4 linked regions of the Kluyveromyces lactis genome follow. The protein of the gene in region 2 interacts with the protein of the main gene of each other region in a pairwise test. Links are inferred from orthologs where the notes say so. Each region holds a gene or a part of one and is shown on either strand. Other genes may lie near its edges.

Region 1 (3,744 bases), on a different chromosome or scaffold from region 2:
TAGATGAAGAAGAGGAAGAGGAAGCTTCAGAATCCATGATTGAATTTGTCAAATCACTATCGCAAAAATCTCGTCTCCTTAAGCTCTTGTTGAGTTCATTATCCAAATCGATAACCATAAAAAAGGATACTGTAACTACAGCAGCATATCTATCTGAGCTAAATCAACTCCACAATTCAATAGTTTCTAACTCTGATACTTTAATTTCATCCACCTTAGTGAACGCTGAATATGAAGTAGATCCAGAAGTGGAAACATCAGTACTTGCTATCAATAATGATGTTAAGAAAGTTATAAAAATTATTACACAGCTAAACGGTTCAGATGAGTCCAAGTTGAAATGGATACAGGTATGGTCAAATAAGTGGAGTTCTTTGAATAATTAGTTTAGTTTTATCTGTCTTCTGTTTTAAAGGCATCTGAAAGTAATATATAGGTACACCGTACATACAAATACCAAATCATAATTCCACAGTCTAGTCAGATGCAGTTCAAGTAGGGTGAATTACTTTCACCAATCATCACCGTTGTCTATATCATCGTCACGAGCAACTTTATTCTTTCTTTGGTTTAAAGCCGCAGCTAGGGCATCAGCCAAGGACGCAGGAGCACCAACAGGTCCGCCAGTTGACCCGCCTGTGGGTTGAGATACCGGCGCATCACTACGAACTTCTTGTAACAAAGGACTTGGCTTTTCAAGTTGAGATTTATCCACCTTACGGAGGGAATTCAGACCAGCTCCACGAATCGATGCTAATAAGGCATCCCTTCCAGCATCACCAGTATTTTCAACAAAACCAGATCCTGCTTCAGGTTGATTAAATGCAGGGGCTGGAGGAGGAGGAGGAGGTGGTGGTGGTGCGGGCGCTGAGTTCGTTATCTGTGGAGCAAAAGGTGCCGGAGGGGCAGGAGGTGCTGGGGGAGGTGCAGTGCCATTAGGTACCGCTATATGATGCTGGGGTTGGGCTAACATAGGCTCGGTCGATGGGTGATACTGAGTGCTTACACCTGAGTGGGGTGGTAAGACAGGGGGAGGCGGAATGTATGCGGTTTGCTGTGGTGGTTGATATTGCTGAACAGGAGGCGCTGCATTGTAGGTATTATGCTGTTGAAGAGGAGGAGATTGCATTTGTGGTGGAAGCTGGGGCTGGGGAGGGCCGATGGCTGAGTTATGAGTTGTACCTCTGCTTGCAGGTGGAGAAGGAGCCTGGCCACCACGTCTAGGTGGTGGTGGTGGTGGAGGCCCTCTTCCAGTACGACTATGCTGACCGCCAGTTGGAGCATTAGGTAGAGGACCTCTTGAAGGAATGGACGGCGGAGCAGCTGAGCGTCTTGGAGGGGGAGGTGGTACCGGACCACGCCTCGAAACTGGAGGAGCAATACCAGGTCTCGTTGAAGTTGGTCTCGGAGGTGGTTGCAGACCAGCAACAGAATATTGTCCAAACTGAGGAGTGTTGTTATTAGTGACGTTTTGTTGTTGAGCTGGATGGGAAGGTGGAGGAGGGATTGCAACGCTTTGCTGCATAGGCGGAATCGAAGGAGGTGCTGCAGGTGAAGGAGAATTATGCTGCTGCTGGAATTGCGGATGAGGTGACTGAGCCAGTGGACGATATTGTTCTGCTGGTAAAGGAGGAGGAACTGCATGTACCGGGTGGTTTATTGGTGGAGGAGGATTACTTGGTGCTGGTGTTGATGCATAGGATGAATCCGGGGTAGGAGAATGAGTAGAGGAAACCGATGGAGGTGCAGGAGAGCTTGGGAATGATGGAATAGAGTCGTACTTATAAGATGGGATGCTCACAGGAGGAGGAGGTTGTTTCTCGACAGGCGGTGGCGGTGGTTTCGAGGCAAAAGAAGGAGGAGCGGCACTTGCATCTGAAGCTGAGTTTTCAGTTGAAGCATAATTCTGGCTGGGCTGCTCGTAATGGTGTTCCTGGCGGTGCTCGTGCTTTTCCGGTTCATATCTATATCTGACCCTTTGGTCACTGATCAAGGATTCGCCTCTTGGACCATGGATCACTTTACTCTCTTCCTCTTTCTTAATTTGGTCCTCTAATGCAATTGCATTCTTGTTGGCCAAGGTCTTCTTGGACGCGTATTTCTCCCGTTTCTGTACTCGTTTCAAAAAATGTGAAGCATCGCCAATATCGGTGAATAACAACCCGGCGTTACATTGTTCTAATTCAAAGGTATGAAAGAAAGTACGATCCTGGTTATATTGAAAGTTCACGTACAATTCTTGATCCCAGAGAACACCTCGATGCCCATGCACGTCGATCAACTTCAAAAAGAAAGTATTACCAACGATATCGTCCACCAATGCAATGGCACCAGATAAGCCAGTATAAACCCATTTCTCTGGATTAGGGTATGCAATGTATAACCTAGCGATAGTAACATCTATAATCTTGTTAGAAGCCTTGGGCAAAGCATGTTTAACCTTTTCTTTCTCAGCAGAATTCAAGCCTCCCATAGTATACTCGGAAACAACTGCTTTATGATTATTAATTTCTCAAAAGAAGTGTAAACTCGTTCAACTTGAAATCAATTCTTGACGGAGGCAGCTACCGATGGGTTCTAATGAAAATAACACAAACGCGCGATGCACTTTAGGGAGTGGGGGGGTTTGGCTGACTATAATTTACGGTTCTTAAGTTTTCGGTCTGTTTAACATTTCGCAACTTTTCAATTTTTCAATATTGAAAGTTGAAGCGATTCTTAATACGGCATTATTCCCCTATAATTCACAGAGTGATTCAGTGAAAGAAGAAGGGACCAACAGAACTGCGAGAGAGATAAAAAAAAAAGGACCTTTACACAATGGGGTTTGTTCAAGTTGCCATATTGAATTCAAAAGTACTAACAGACCATTTGTAAATGGGAATACAGTGTGCCCATTTAGGTCACTGCAAGGTACAGGAAAGACAAGAAGCATTTCAGTACGAACACGCATTCGAACATAATACGGAGAAAAATTAAGAGTTCTGTTTACTGATACATCTGGCCGACGCATGTGGACGTGGTTACAGCGGCACAATGGCAGAAGAATTTCTGTCCTGACCCAGGAACCGTCTGGCACTGCAGCATCTGACAAAAGTCAGAATCACTTTGTACGTGTTGATCGCTTTATGCTGGGTTTTTTTGGCAACCAGCATGCGGTATTCAAAAGGTAAACAACAGCTACATGCTCGAAGAGATCAGAGGGAGAAACATCGAAAGATGGTTTTTTTTTGCAGGTGGACGGTGTTTGGATTGCGTGCTTATGATGTGAAATAGTTTACAACAGGCGGCGTGATTGGGTTTACATTTTGTGTCTTGTTTACAGTTACGTTAAACGTAAATGCTTTCTTCTCTTTAGTCCAGCGTAAAACTCTTCCAAAAAGAATTCTTTTTCCTAGGCACTTTTTTGACACGAAATTATGTTTTAGCATATTACAGGAACAGCTTTTGGATGTTGCGAAACAAAACGAAACGAAACAGAGTAAACATAAACAGTGAGCAGGAGCAAGTGTTTGAGAATGCTTTCTGTGGTGTGTTTGTTTACATGCTTTGGAATGTTTGAAACAAGTGCTGGGGTCCAGCTCGATGTCATATTTTGTGATTTCTGGTATATAAAGGGCACAACAATGGCAGGATGAGGTACCAGTAATGCAACTATCAATCATTGTGTTAAACTGGTCACCAGAAATACAAGATATCAAAAATTACTAATACTACCATAACAGTACTTACCTGTGTGCGTGT
Region 2 (2,951 bases):
AAATTAGTGTTTCCGATGCAGATTTCAGCGAGCTTTTAGAAGAAGATAATAATAATGATGAATCCATAAGAGCACTAAAGGGAGTTGAAAGTAAGTTATATGGAGACGGTTTGAGCGTTGAAGCAATTGTTCAGGAGCTTTTGTCCAGTGCTACTGACAAACAAAATTTAGCGACAATTTACATGGGATGGTCCCCATTTTATTAAGATTGATGTGTTTGAAGTTCTTACTCGAGATGAAGACTTTATTATACTACCAGCACCTGAAGCGATTTGCAAGCAGTATAATTATAAATAATAGCATATTCATTAAATAGCATGATTCATTCGAAGCAAGTATTTGCGTGTTAATGAAGAATTCAGTAACTGTGTTGATAAAAGCACTTGAATTTTTCGCGAATAAGGTTGATAAGCCGGTTGTTATTGCAAACTGTGGAAATAATATAATATAAAAGACGATACACAAATCAAATGTTTAATGATACAAACTGATGGGAGGCAGTAATAAAATCAGTGTGATTTCCCATCCAAAAGCTTAACGTAATTACTTGGGATAATCCCTGTTTCCCCGTTTGACTTCTTGGCTTTCCACCATCTACCCTCGATATCACCAACCCTGAGAATTTCGCCCTGTTCGAAGGATATTTCATACGCGTCAGTTTGGTCCGCTTGATAGGTATATAAAGCCTCTGCAGTGTATGGGAAACTGTTTAATTCTTCACCAATGTCACTGTATAGGCCTAATGTGTCTCCCATGGTAGTATCTGTGTTGGCATTGGTGGTATCTGTGATGAAAGTGCCAGTGGCCTGTGTATTCAGTGTAGCAGTATTTTGCGCATTAACATCAAGGTTTGGTTTCGAAGAGGAATGATCTGTATTTTCAAATCCGTTCAGCACTGTAGACGACACATACTTTGTAGACGATTGAAGTTCTGGCGCATACATGTTGCCACTGTGGCCCTCACCTTCGTCATCGTGGTGGACATCAGGCAGAGATGCTGAACGCAAGTCTTCCTGGTATTGGTATGGGTAAGAAGGTTTGACCGGCAGTCTCTGCGATCTGGCAATAGCCATGGATGTCTCTAGCACCGAAGGACGAATTCCGCGTAGTGAGAACGAATCGATCCATCTATTGGTTGGAGATGCATTATCTCCACCAAAATAAATCACCCACACCAAATTGATCATGGATAACAAGATAAATCCTGCTGCTGCTGCACCACTCTTGGACCCTTCATAGTACACAATACTGTTAGTACTATTCGAAGTATATACGAATGCGATACCAACAGCACAAGTAATGAACATTCTATAGTAGTCAACTAAATCCAAACAGTACACGATAAAAAGCGTAATCATTAGTAGTATCTCGTAAACTATAGTCCACCAAGAAAATCTTGGGAATGGAGACGTAGATGCTGCAACAGCAATGGATCCCGCCAATGCAATGATCCATGAGATCAATGCAATACTAAGTGTGCCTATGGCAAAAGGATCGCCCAAAAATGACGAGATGTTAAATTGATGAGATACATGCGGATTCTCCCTTACAGCACGGGCTTGACTTGCTTTAATCAACGCCATCTCTCTGTTTGCAGATATTCCCTTGCCTCGCTGGACTATTGGAACACTTGTGACAACACAACAACTAAAATTGAAATAAACTTGCTTCAAGTTCAAGTATGTTCGTATTGATTACTTTTTATATTTATGTATATACGGTATACATTTATCATTTTTTTTGGTGTCTGTCTACAATGAGAGATGAGTTATTTTTTGATCATGTGACAGGCAGCAACCAAAGGCTCGCTAGGAATACGCGGGCCGCTTATTTAGAGTGTCAATCGGGAGTACAATTGGTAGCAGTATCAATGGTTAGTCTCTAGTACCCTGTTTATCCTGTACCCTCAATGTGTCGCATGTAGAAATATGGTAGCACTTAGTGAAGTTATCATGACGATGAATCCCCAAATAGCAAGTAACAATGAGATAATTCTCAAGATTCGTTCTTTTGCTGGTGGTACAACGGATTTGGCGTACTCCGATGCGATTAACTTGTAGCCAAATATTCCAGGTAAGATGAAGGATATAGAAGTGGATCCGGTTGCTCCTACTATTGACAAAACGTTTGCTAGCGACGTAACACTCATAGCGAGGATGTACGAAAATAATAGGATTCCAGACGTGATAAAGATGAATCTAGGGCCTTCTAACGTTACTACTGGAGGCTGATTAGCGCTGTTTTCTTCAATTAATTCGTCTTCGCATTCGTAGGTTAACTGTTCGCTAGATTCGAGTTCAGAGTCCCGTAATAGACTGTTTTGTTCTGCACTTGTGGTTGTCATTGGGGGATGGGTGTTCCCCTTGGAGAAGTAATGTAAGATATGATTGACAGATGCTCTAGCTGGATGACATTGTAGCGGGAAGGCAAGGATCACTAACAATGCTATAGCTATTCTACCGATGGTGCTGGAAATGGAGTTTGGGTATAAGGTGATAATGTTACCAGTAATATGATCACCGAAGGTGCAATAACCTAGCGCTCCAATGGAAATGTACAAAGACATTGCTAGCGTAATGGCAATCCTAATCAATTTCGTTATACTGTCTAAAGATTTGTCTGATTGTTCATTGATGATGGAAAACATGTTGTGATGGCAAGTATACGCGAAAACGAAAATTGGAAAACTGCTTAGCATGGATGAATCCACATCACTGGGTTTCCAGATGCTAACATGGCCTCTTAAATGGTCGATTTCGCTATTTGGAACGGCAAAATGGAAGACAACTAATACGCATAAGTACCCAACTGCTGTAATTGCAATGGAAGAAGTGTACCTTAAAGAGTCTAACTTCTTAATGAAACACAACGGTGTCACGATGATCAACGTAACTGCAGTGATGTGAAACTGGCGTGATAAGAGCCACCCATGGGTTGTAAACGTGGACATT
Region 3 (4,013 bases), about 590 kb from region 2:
GGAGTCATCCCCAAGGGACCCCTTCTGTAGCAATTCTACTGGTTCGCCTTGTTCTTTTACTCTACCATTTTCCATAATGATAACCCAATCTGCATTTTTTAAAGTTAATGCAACATTGTGAGAAACCAATACACATGTTCTTCCTTCCATTAATGGGCCTGTTATACAATTTTCGTAGATCCATAAGGCCGTGTGCGAGTCTACGGCACTCAAACAATCATCTAACAGCAAATGTCTTGATGAAGAATACAATGATCTGGCCAACGAGACTCTTTGTTTTTGACCACCAGAAAGTGTTATACCCTTTTCGCCAATCTCTGTCTGATCACCAGCGCTTAAGATCTCGAAGTCGCGTTTCAAACCACACGCAGAGATGACGGCATTATATCTATTCTCATTATAAGGCGCATTGAATAGAATATTGTTCCTGACAGTATCATTTAGCAACCAGGCAGCTTGGGAGCAGTACGCGATTGAATTAGTCATTCCATCGGCCTCTACAACCAACTCTTCCCTAGGATTGAGCGAAGGGACGAAAACTTTTCCGTTCAATAGCTCCATTTCACCCAATAATCCCATTAACAATGATGTTTTACCAGATCCAGTTGGACCTACAATAACGTTTAATTTCCCAATTTTGAAATCAATAGTTAGGTTTTTTAACTTGAAATCTTGATTATTTTTATCCCATGTAAAAGTAGCGTTTTGCAACCCAAGTTTATTTCTTGATACGGTTAATTGCTCATACTTTTTCGTCTCCTCTTCATTTAAAAATTCTTGGACTCTATCCAAAGAGACCTTGGATTGAATAACAAAAGACAACATATCAGAAAGCATGTCTAACGGATTTCTTAGTAGAGCAAATAGAGATAGTGCAGTAAATGCTACCGGAGTAGTTAAAGTTTGGCCTTGCACATAAATATAGACTGCAAAAGAAGCGGATGTGACAATAGAGGGGGTAATGAACCAAACAAGAGAAGAAAGAGCCCAAACGATAGACCTTTTTAAAAGCATATTTAATTCTTCATCCCTTGTGTTTTGTATGTCCTTTTCAAAATTCTCTTCCCAAGAGAAGAATTTGATAATACGAATGGCCTGGAAAGCTTCGTTTAGTTTCTGAATTCTTTTATCTGTGATTGCCAAGGATTTCTTTTGGAGTGTCCCTAACAAGCTGGCAAGTTTGAAGTTCAATGGTAAGAAGCAAATAATCATTGCACTACCAACTAAAGCAGACCAGCCTATTAACCGATATAAAAGGAATAATGCAACAATGGTCATGATGATCGCCTCTATAAAGGAGTGCAAATACGCACATATTTCGGATACTTTGAAAGCATCCACCGCCATCAAATTAATGATAGCACCAAGATTTGCAGTGGTTGCTGATTCTTCATCTCCATCAACGTGTTGTTTGTCATTTAATTCCTGTGGATCAACGACATCAGTTGGCTCCTTAGTGGAATTTGGAGAAATTTTTCTTCTCAAAGCCTTGGAGTAGATTTCAGAAATTATGATAGCCTTCATTCTGATACAAACCCTTCTCCCTAAAAATAGCGCCTGAGCAGCACATATGGCAGTTAAAATTCTGGCAAGGAACATAAGAAAAATATACATCCAAGCCAAATTTAATGGAGCAGTTGATTGATCTTCAACATACTCCAAAATACGTCTGAGCAACATTGTTGGAACAAAACTAATAACTGACGAAATTGTTGCCCAGGCACCTTGAATGGCGATAAATTTCATGAAAAAGTGGATTAAGTTAAATGAAAATGTCCTAGACTTGGTTTTATTCTGAACAAAATGATTGAATCTCTTTATTACGAGAATGGAATAGTCTTCCACCATTAGACCCCAAACATCTTTCATTTCGATATAATTTTGATGCGCTTTCCAAAGAAATTTATCTACCCATGCCCAAGTGATATAACTTGCAATCGACACAATAGGTTCAGGAGACGGTGTTATATCTGGTGTACTTTTATAGATAATGGCAAACCGATTTCCCGCTTGAGAGGTGAAAAGTAACAAGAATAGTGTCAAACTTAGGTAAAATTGCAACTTATAAAATGTTGATGCAATTTCATCTGTGATATGACCGATATAGATAGATCTCAATGGCAAAACGGATCCGCAGAATAGTGATAGATAACATGCAAATGAAAGGGCCCATAAGTTTCCCGGTCCTGAATTGATCCAGCTTATATTCTGGTTGATGTTTGCCAACCTCAATGACACTACTAACAAGAGTAGAGACCATAACATTAGACCTGAGATAGATGCGTGCATTGGGAAATCCTCTTGGGTATTAGTGTATTTCGACCAGACTGAAATGTAGATGCAAAGTTGTAAGGCGCATAGAACCCATTCTAAGAACACTCTTAATTTTTCAAGCCAGTTTCTCCTTACGATCTTCACAGCGTCATGCTTATTGGAATGAATTTCCGTAAGTGTAACTTTATTTATAGAGAAATGCTCCTCTTTTAGAGAGAATCCTGTCTTATTCGAATCCGGATTAGTGTATAATGCTTGTGTACTCTCCGATAGTAAAGGCTTGTTTTCATTCGGAAGGTCTGTGAGATTTGAGCCCAATAATTCGGAAGCAACACTAGGCTTAATTTCTTGAGGCTTTCTGTAATAATGTTGGATCGCGTTTTTGAATAAATACAAGAGAGAAACGCCTACCAATGTTATTGGAAGGTAGTAATTGATATACTGCACTCTTCCACACTCTGTAATATCATCATAGCGCCAAAATGGGCATGAATCACTTATTGCATCTAGATTTGAATTCGAATTTGAACCTGACATTATTTTAGCCGCTTTATAGTATTCAAAACAATCAAGAGAAAGTACTTGCTTGTCAGGAATCAACAAGGTAGGTATACCAAAGAGGGTAGGATAAATGCTCGTACTTGCCCACGAATAAAATAAGATATTCTTATGGTGCTGTATGGAACGAAGTGAGCTGAGGTAACTAGTGAAATGAAAGAATAGAAGAATTTCAATCACAAAAACAATTTTATGCGTACTACACTCAAAAAAGTTATCTCTAAAGCGGTTATTAAAAGCTCTTAGTATTACAGCAAAAATGATAATCTTTCAACCGAACAGTGCAACAGAGCTGCTTATGTTTGCTCAAGTAAGTTCTTCGTGTTACCCCCTTGCCGTTTAAATACGATTGAGTTGAACGTCCTTTAATTCTCAAAATTTTCAAAAACTCTGTCCTTGTTCTTTTTATACAGTATTTATATATTATACCAAGAAATATGCCAGATGACCTGTATTTGACTATCATGTCCGGCTGTAATTTTTTCATTTTTCTGGCTCTGTTATTTTTGAATGCCCACTACTGCATTTTCAGTGTAATGAGCTTAAATAGATAAAAATACAAGTTGGATGCGTTACAAACTAATATGTTGGTTGTATTGTTGACAGCAAGTCCATGTGTGTCATTATTTTCGAGATTTCCTATAAAAAGATAGCAATTATGTACCCATTCTAGTTGTACTACTCTAAATTCGCATATACTTAGGAAAGAGAAATTAATTTCTTATATAAGTAGAAAGGCCGCACGGATTGCATGTTATACATTTTACTAATCAGTATCAGGTGGATATATGTAAAAACTGCGCAGCGATTCTTGTCCATCTCATTTTGTATGGACTACGTGTACGCGGTACTTGCGTTGACATAGAAGGCCCTCTAGTGAGAGTAGAAAAAAAGTGTCAAACTGGGTATTGAAATGGATAACCTTAAAAAGGGAGGAAAACTAAGAAGGAATTTCACAGCTTCTAGTAGAACAATAAAAAGTCAGGTATATTTCCGAACCATCGATATACTGAGACGATCTTAATTGTGAACGGTGAGAGCCAAGATTTTAATTAAATAGCAGCTCATTTACCTCTCAGTTTATAAAAAGCGACTTCTGCGAACTGGGTTGTTCAGTTTGTTATATAGTCTAGTTTCCGTATTATCGTGGCAACTTCTTAATCGTTCCGTGATTCCAATAG
Region 4 (4,266 bases), on a different chromosome or scaffold from region 2:
AGTAGGCGCCTGAATCTCATCGTAAGAAAACAGATCACAGAGACATTGTAATTGAAACGCCTGTTTTTCGTTGTGACCCATATGATTCTGGAATGCCTTCACCAGCGAGGCAACCCAGTGTTCTCGTTCTTCCATGGTTGAGGTTGAAAATGTATGAGATTCGTTAGACGCAGTATTCCTAATCTTGAATGAATAAGAAGATTCTTCATTATCGTCATTGTTTAAAGTAGCGTTGGTAGCAGTTTGGTATATCGTCTTCGGTATAGAGCTCATTGTTGTTCCAGCAGGTAAAAGTGGAGGCTTCTTTGACGTAGACGGCGTTTGGACATTGCAAGATTCTTCATCAGCATCTGACAATGATTTTCTTTTATAGTTAATGTCCTCCTTTGTTTCAACACTCAAATAATCAATGGGTATGGGTCTTTCTATTAGCTTATATTTCTTCCCTGATCCTTTGAATATTTCTTCAGTGATCAGAAAATAATTGTCCAATAAAAAGACATAGACAGGGGCACTCTCAAGCCATAGTTCTCTTTTCTTCTGTAATATACCTTGCATTATTAGCTTCCTGTCACCGTCCCCTAACTTTAAATCAAGATGCTCGTTGTTTGTAGTGAAATTTGACACGGAATCATTACCAGACTGTATGTTAAGGTAGTTGACAGTGTTGCCTGTCTTAGATGTAAAAATCAATTGACGAGCTAGTCTGACTATCTTACGTTTATCTATCGCATCACCATGGGCTTTATCTACTAATCTTGATAGTTGTTCAATCTCTTGAATTGCCATACGTAAGTATTCGTGATCATCCATTGATGGATCAGTACACTTCAATACAGATCTGAGTGTTACTGGCATATTTTGTAAAGATTTGAAAAATCCACCAAAAAAGATAACGTCGTGGTAAAGTTTAGATCTGGTTATTGGAGTTGACTCATCGATTTGCCTCAACCAAGATGCAAACCGGGTATTATTTTCCTTTTCCCAATTGATTATTTCGTGGACAGTAGCCATATTTTGCGCATACTTCACATACACCTGTTTAGCATCATTTGCCCACTTTAAATATATCTTGCCAACTCCATCAATGAATTTACCTTTTATTTTAAGTTTCCAAAGGATAGGGCTCAAAAGAATATCCTTATGTAACTCTATCAATGGAATGAATATATCATATGCCATCGACTTAAAATTTGGGTCATCCGGTAAAAGAGCCGGATCAAAAGAGGCCCCATATATCTCTACTGCTGCATTAGCGAGGTTTAATGATCTTTCCTCTAGCACTATTAGATCAAATATGAAACTCTGGCGTTTAACTTCCTTAGGATTAATCTCAGATAATTCTTCGGGAGTCAATTTCCAGTAATCGGTCCATAGCCCCACTGACTTGTTGATGAATTCTGAGATTTTAAGCTGTGACCTGTAATTCTCTGATCCTTTTGAGCTCCAGCAGGTGTATGAATAGCACTTCAAATCCGTAGTAGGATCATCATATATATGAGAATAAGAGTAACAGGGCAATAAATCCGTAAAAACCCCTTGAGTATCAAGCCCCGCAATGATGATGGTGATTTGGTTCCCAGTTTCCGGATCGTCTTCGAATCGCACAGCACCTTGTAAGATAAGCGATTCAATAATTTTGTCCACGTTCGAATCAATGATATCTTGCTCGCAAGAATTTGGTAGCTGGAATTCCAACAGTAATTGAACAATTTGAAAGAATTCCAATTTACCGAAAACGTATTCATTAAACCATTCGAAGTATACTTTCAAGAGCCACTGGTATATGTGTGACAATTGGCTAATGTTGTAGCACTGGTAAAGTTTTCTTTCATCCAAAAGGTCGATCGTGAAGGGGTATGTTGGCACTGTAATGCTAGCCACATTATTCAGTGGTTTACTCCCAGTGATTGAACCGAACGATTCATGTCTAGCATATTCTTCCACGTTTTTATTGAAAGCGTAGCTCGAATTGGAATAATAACTACTGATTGAGTCTGAAAGTCTTGGTTCATTAGGCCCTATTGCTCCATTACTAACATCTTTCATCTTCGGAGGTTGTGGATAGTATAAAGTTGTGTTTTGTAAACTACTTTTATCCGAAGTGGACCAGTTGAAATTTCCTGTCGATATTGGAGAAATGGCATCCAGCGCAGGGAGCGTTTCTGGAACTGCCATATCATTATAACGGTGTTCAACGGGCCCCGTAAACTGCAGTGTACTACTAGATGTTGCAGTAGTCTTTGTTGCCGCGTTAATAGGGCCGGAGAACGTTCGTGGGGGTAGTGCCGGCAGAGCTTTCATTGTGATATCTTTCGAATCCGAACTAGCGAACCCTTCAAACTCAATATTTGGCATCGTTACATTATTGGTGAATATACTTGAAGTTGAAGAAGAAGACAGCCTATTATTATTATAATTATTATTATCTGATTGTGAAGCTGGACTATCGCTATTATTGCTGAAACTGCTATTTGGAAGAGTTTCAGGTGACCGAAACACAGATGGATCACCAACGAAAGGCGATATATACACTTTCGGAGCAGGCGCCCTCTTTTCACTCACACTTACCTCTGTGACAAAAGGAGATGAATAAAGGTGCTGTTGGTCAATCTGAGGCTGCTGCTTTTCACTTGATCTAGACGGTACGACGGTGAAAGATGATCCAGATGTAGGAGTCACAGGGCTCGTCAGTATTGGAGGAGGAGGCCTCCTCCTCCTCTCATTATTCCCAACTTTCTTGGGAGTAGATTGTTGACTCTGCAAAGGCGGTAACGCCGGTAATCTAGGAGATCGTTGTGTACTGTCCATTACTCAAAATGATACTGTTGAAATGAATTGCAATACTTTGATAAAGGTAAACTTGTATTCATAAAGCCAGAAAGTGAAAGCTTCGTGTATATAAGCTAAATTGATACGCGAGTAGCAACGAACGCAGTGGGAGATATCAGTTTGGGGCCTTTCACAATAAAGTATTCATCTGTCCACCCCATCATCTATTTACATAGTAGCTACAACATTATATTTGTTAATAACAATAAGTTGTTCCTACGATTTGTCGTTACCATTACAAAGGGAAGGGAAGCAAATTGAAGAAAACAGAAAACTGCAACATCACAGTTTCGAACGGTTAACTACCTGTTTCTTATTTGTTTCCCTTCTGTTTCCCTTTCTAATTGTTTCTCACTTCCTATGTCGACGGCTGAACGAAAAAAGATGGAACCCCGAAACGTTCGCCCGGAAACCGTCGTTGCGAAGCATAATTACTGCTCAGAAGGAACTCTCGACGAATGCATCTCCAGAACTGTACGCTACTGAGCAGGCTATTGGAAAGACGTTAATATGAAGGTTTGAAGGGCTTACATGAATGTGGGACAACGGAAGGCACACCTGGGGCTCCCTTTCTTAGCGTGAGAGAGGATGATGCAATTTTGTGTCACGTGAATCATTTCTTTTTCTCATAGTTCCTACGTACCTGACTACAACAAAGTAAGGTTATCATTCCAAAAAGATGACAGCTTTTTCAGTTTGTGATTTCTCGAAATGATTACTACGAGTCATATCAGATGCCATAAGACATCTGCTTGAAAGGAAAGTGCACATTCTGATGTCATGCCTTCTGCAATCGAATCATATTCTACACACAAAATATGTATCAATATCTGCAAGGAATATCTTGTATGTGGTTTTTGGATATATGTATTATCAAACTAAAATAACAAATTAAAACAATTCCTGCGGTTTGAAATAGGACTCTAAACATGACTGAAATTGATTTATTGTTGTGTATCGTCGTAATTTGAATTGAATGTCAACGGGAATTGTATAACTGCGTATTGATTCGCCAATCGTAATAAATAAGTGGACATTGTTTTACTTTTTCGTAAATACCTGCGTGATATTTGTTTTATCTATTCTGGCGCGATTTAGTTTATATAATATATGTTGGAATATTCATTTATAAATTATCATTAAAGAAACGTTCATTAAATAATATGAGTCTTTATGGGTTCGAATGGCAAAAGTGAGATTGCTCTTTTCATTCCTCTAAGAATTGAGTTGGTTCATGTGGGACATATACCTCACGGTATAGGTTATCGCGAGGAACATTGACAGTTCTACCATGGATTGTAGATAGATCTAGGTATTTTTCGGATAATTGGTCTATACTTGTGACACCGAGTAATCTCATCGACATTTCCAATTCGTCCTTTAATAGCTCAATGGCTTTCTTGACACCTTCTTTACCGTAGCAACTGTTAGAGT

The links.
Region 1: the proteins of SHO1 (region 2) and LAS17 interact in binary tests that used the Saccharomyces cerevisiae proteins (3 or more experiments, as listed by UniProt). The link is inferred for Kluyveromyces lactis from reciprocal best matches to the Saccharomyces cerevisiae genes SHO1 and LAS17.
Region 3: the proteins of SHO1 (region 2) and KLLA0_E00529g interact in a protein complementation assay, tested with the Saccharomyces cerevisiae proteins (2 studies listed by BioGRID). The link is inferred for Kluyveromyces lactis from reciprocal best matches to the Saccharomyces cerevisiae genes SHO1 and YBT1.
Region 4: the proteins of SHO1 (region 2) and TUS1 interact in binary tests that used the Saccharomyces cerevisiae proteins (3 or more experiments, as listed by UniProt). The link is inferred for Kluyveromyces lactis from reciprocal best matches to the Saccharomyces cerevisiae genes SHO1 and TUS1.

Annotation. Positions count from the first base shown.
Region 1 is NC_006039.1:433,449-437,192, reverse strand, and holds LAS17 (actin-binding protein LAS17), read right to left. Parts: upstream 2,474-3,744; coding exon 512-2,473; downstream 1-511. Other genes in the region: KLLA0_C04796g (uncharacterized protein), read left to right, coding at 1-386; KLLA0_C04752g (uncharacterized protein), read right to left, coding at 3,261-3,665.
Region 2 is NC_006041.1:628,409-631,359, reverse strand, and holds SHO1 (osmosensor SHO1), read right to left. Parts: upstream 1,584-2,951; coding exon 510-1,583; downstream 1-509. Other genes in the region: DNA-binding protein kinase TEL1, read left to right, coding at 1-206; AVT5 (amino acid transporter), read right to left, coding at 1,907-2,951. UniProt on the Saccharomyces cerevisiae protein: Plasma membrane osmosensor that activates the high osmolarity glycerol (HOG) MAPK signaling pathway in response to high osmolarity.
Region 3 is NC_006041.1:41,315-45,327, forward strand, and holds the start of KLLA0_E00529g (uncharacterized protein), read right to left. Parts: upstream 2,812-4,013; coding exon 1-2,811. UniProt on the Saccharomyces cerevisiae protein: Vacuolar class C ABC transporter which regulates the translocation of phosphatidylcholine to the vacuole lumen, the release of lumenal calcium stores, and acts as a negative regulator of vacuole fusion. Exhibits ATP-dependent bile acid transport.
Region 4 is NC_006040.1:221,443-225,708, forward strand, and holds the start of TUS1 (Rho family guanine nucleotide exchange factor TUS1), read right to left. Parts: upstream 2,812-4,266; coding exon 1-2,811. Other genes in the region: CYB2 (L-lactate dehydrogenase (cytochrome)), read right to left, coding at 4,040-4,266. UniProt on the Saccharomyces cerevisiae protein: Guanine nucleotide-exchange factor (GEF) for RHO1 that stimulates the exchange of RHO1 GDP-bound form into GTP-bound form. Required for signaling of cell wall defects to RHO1.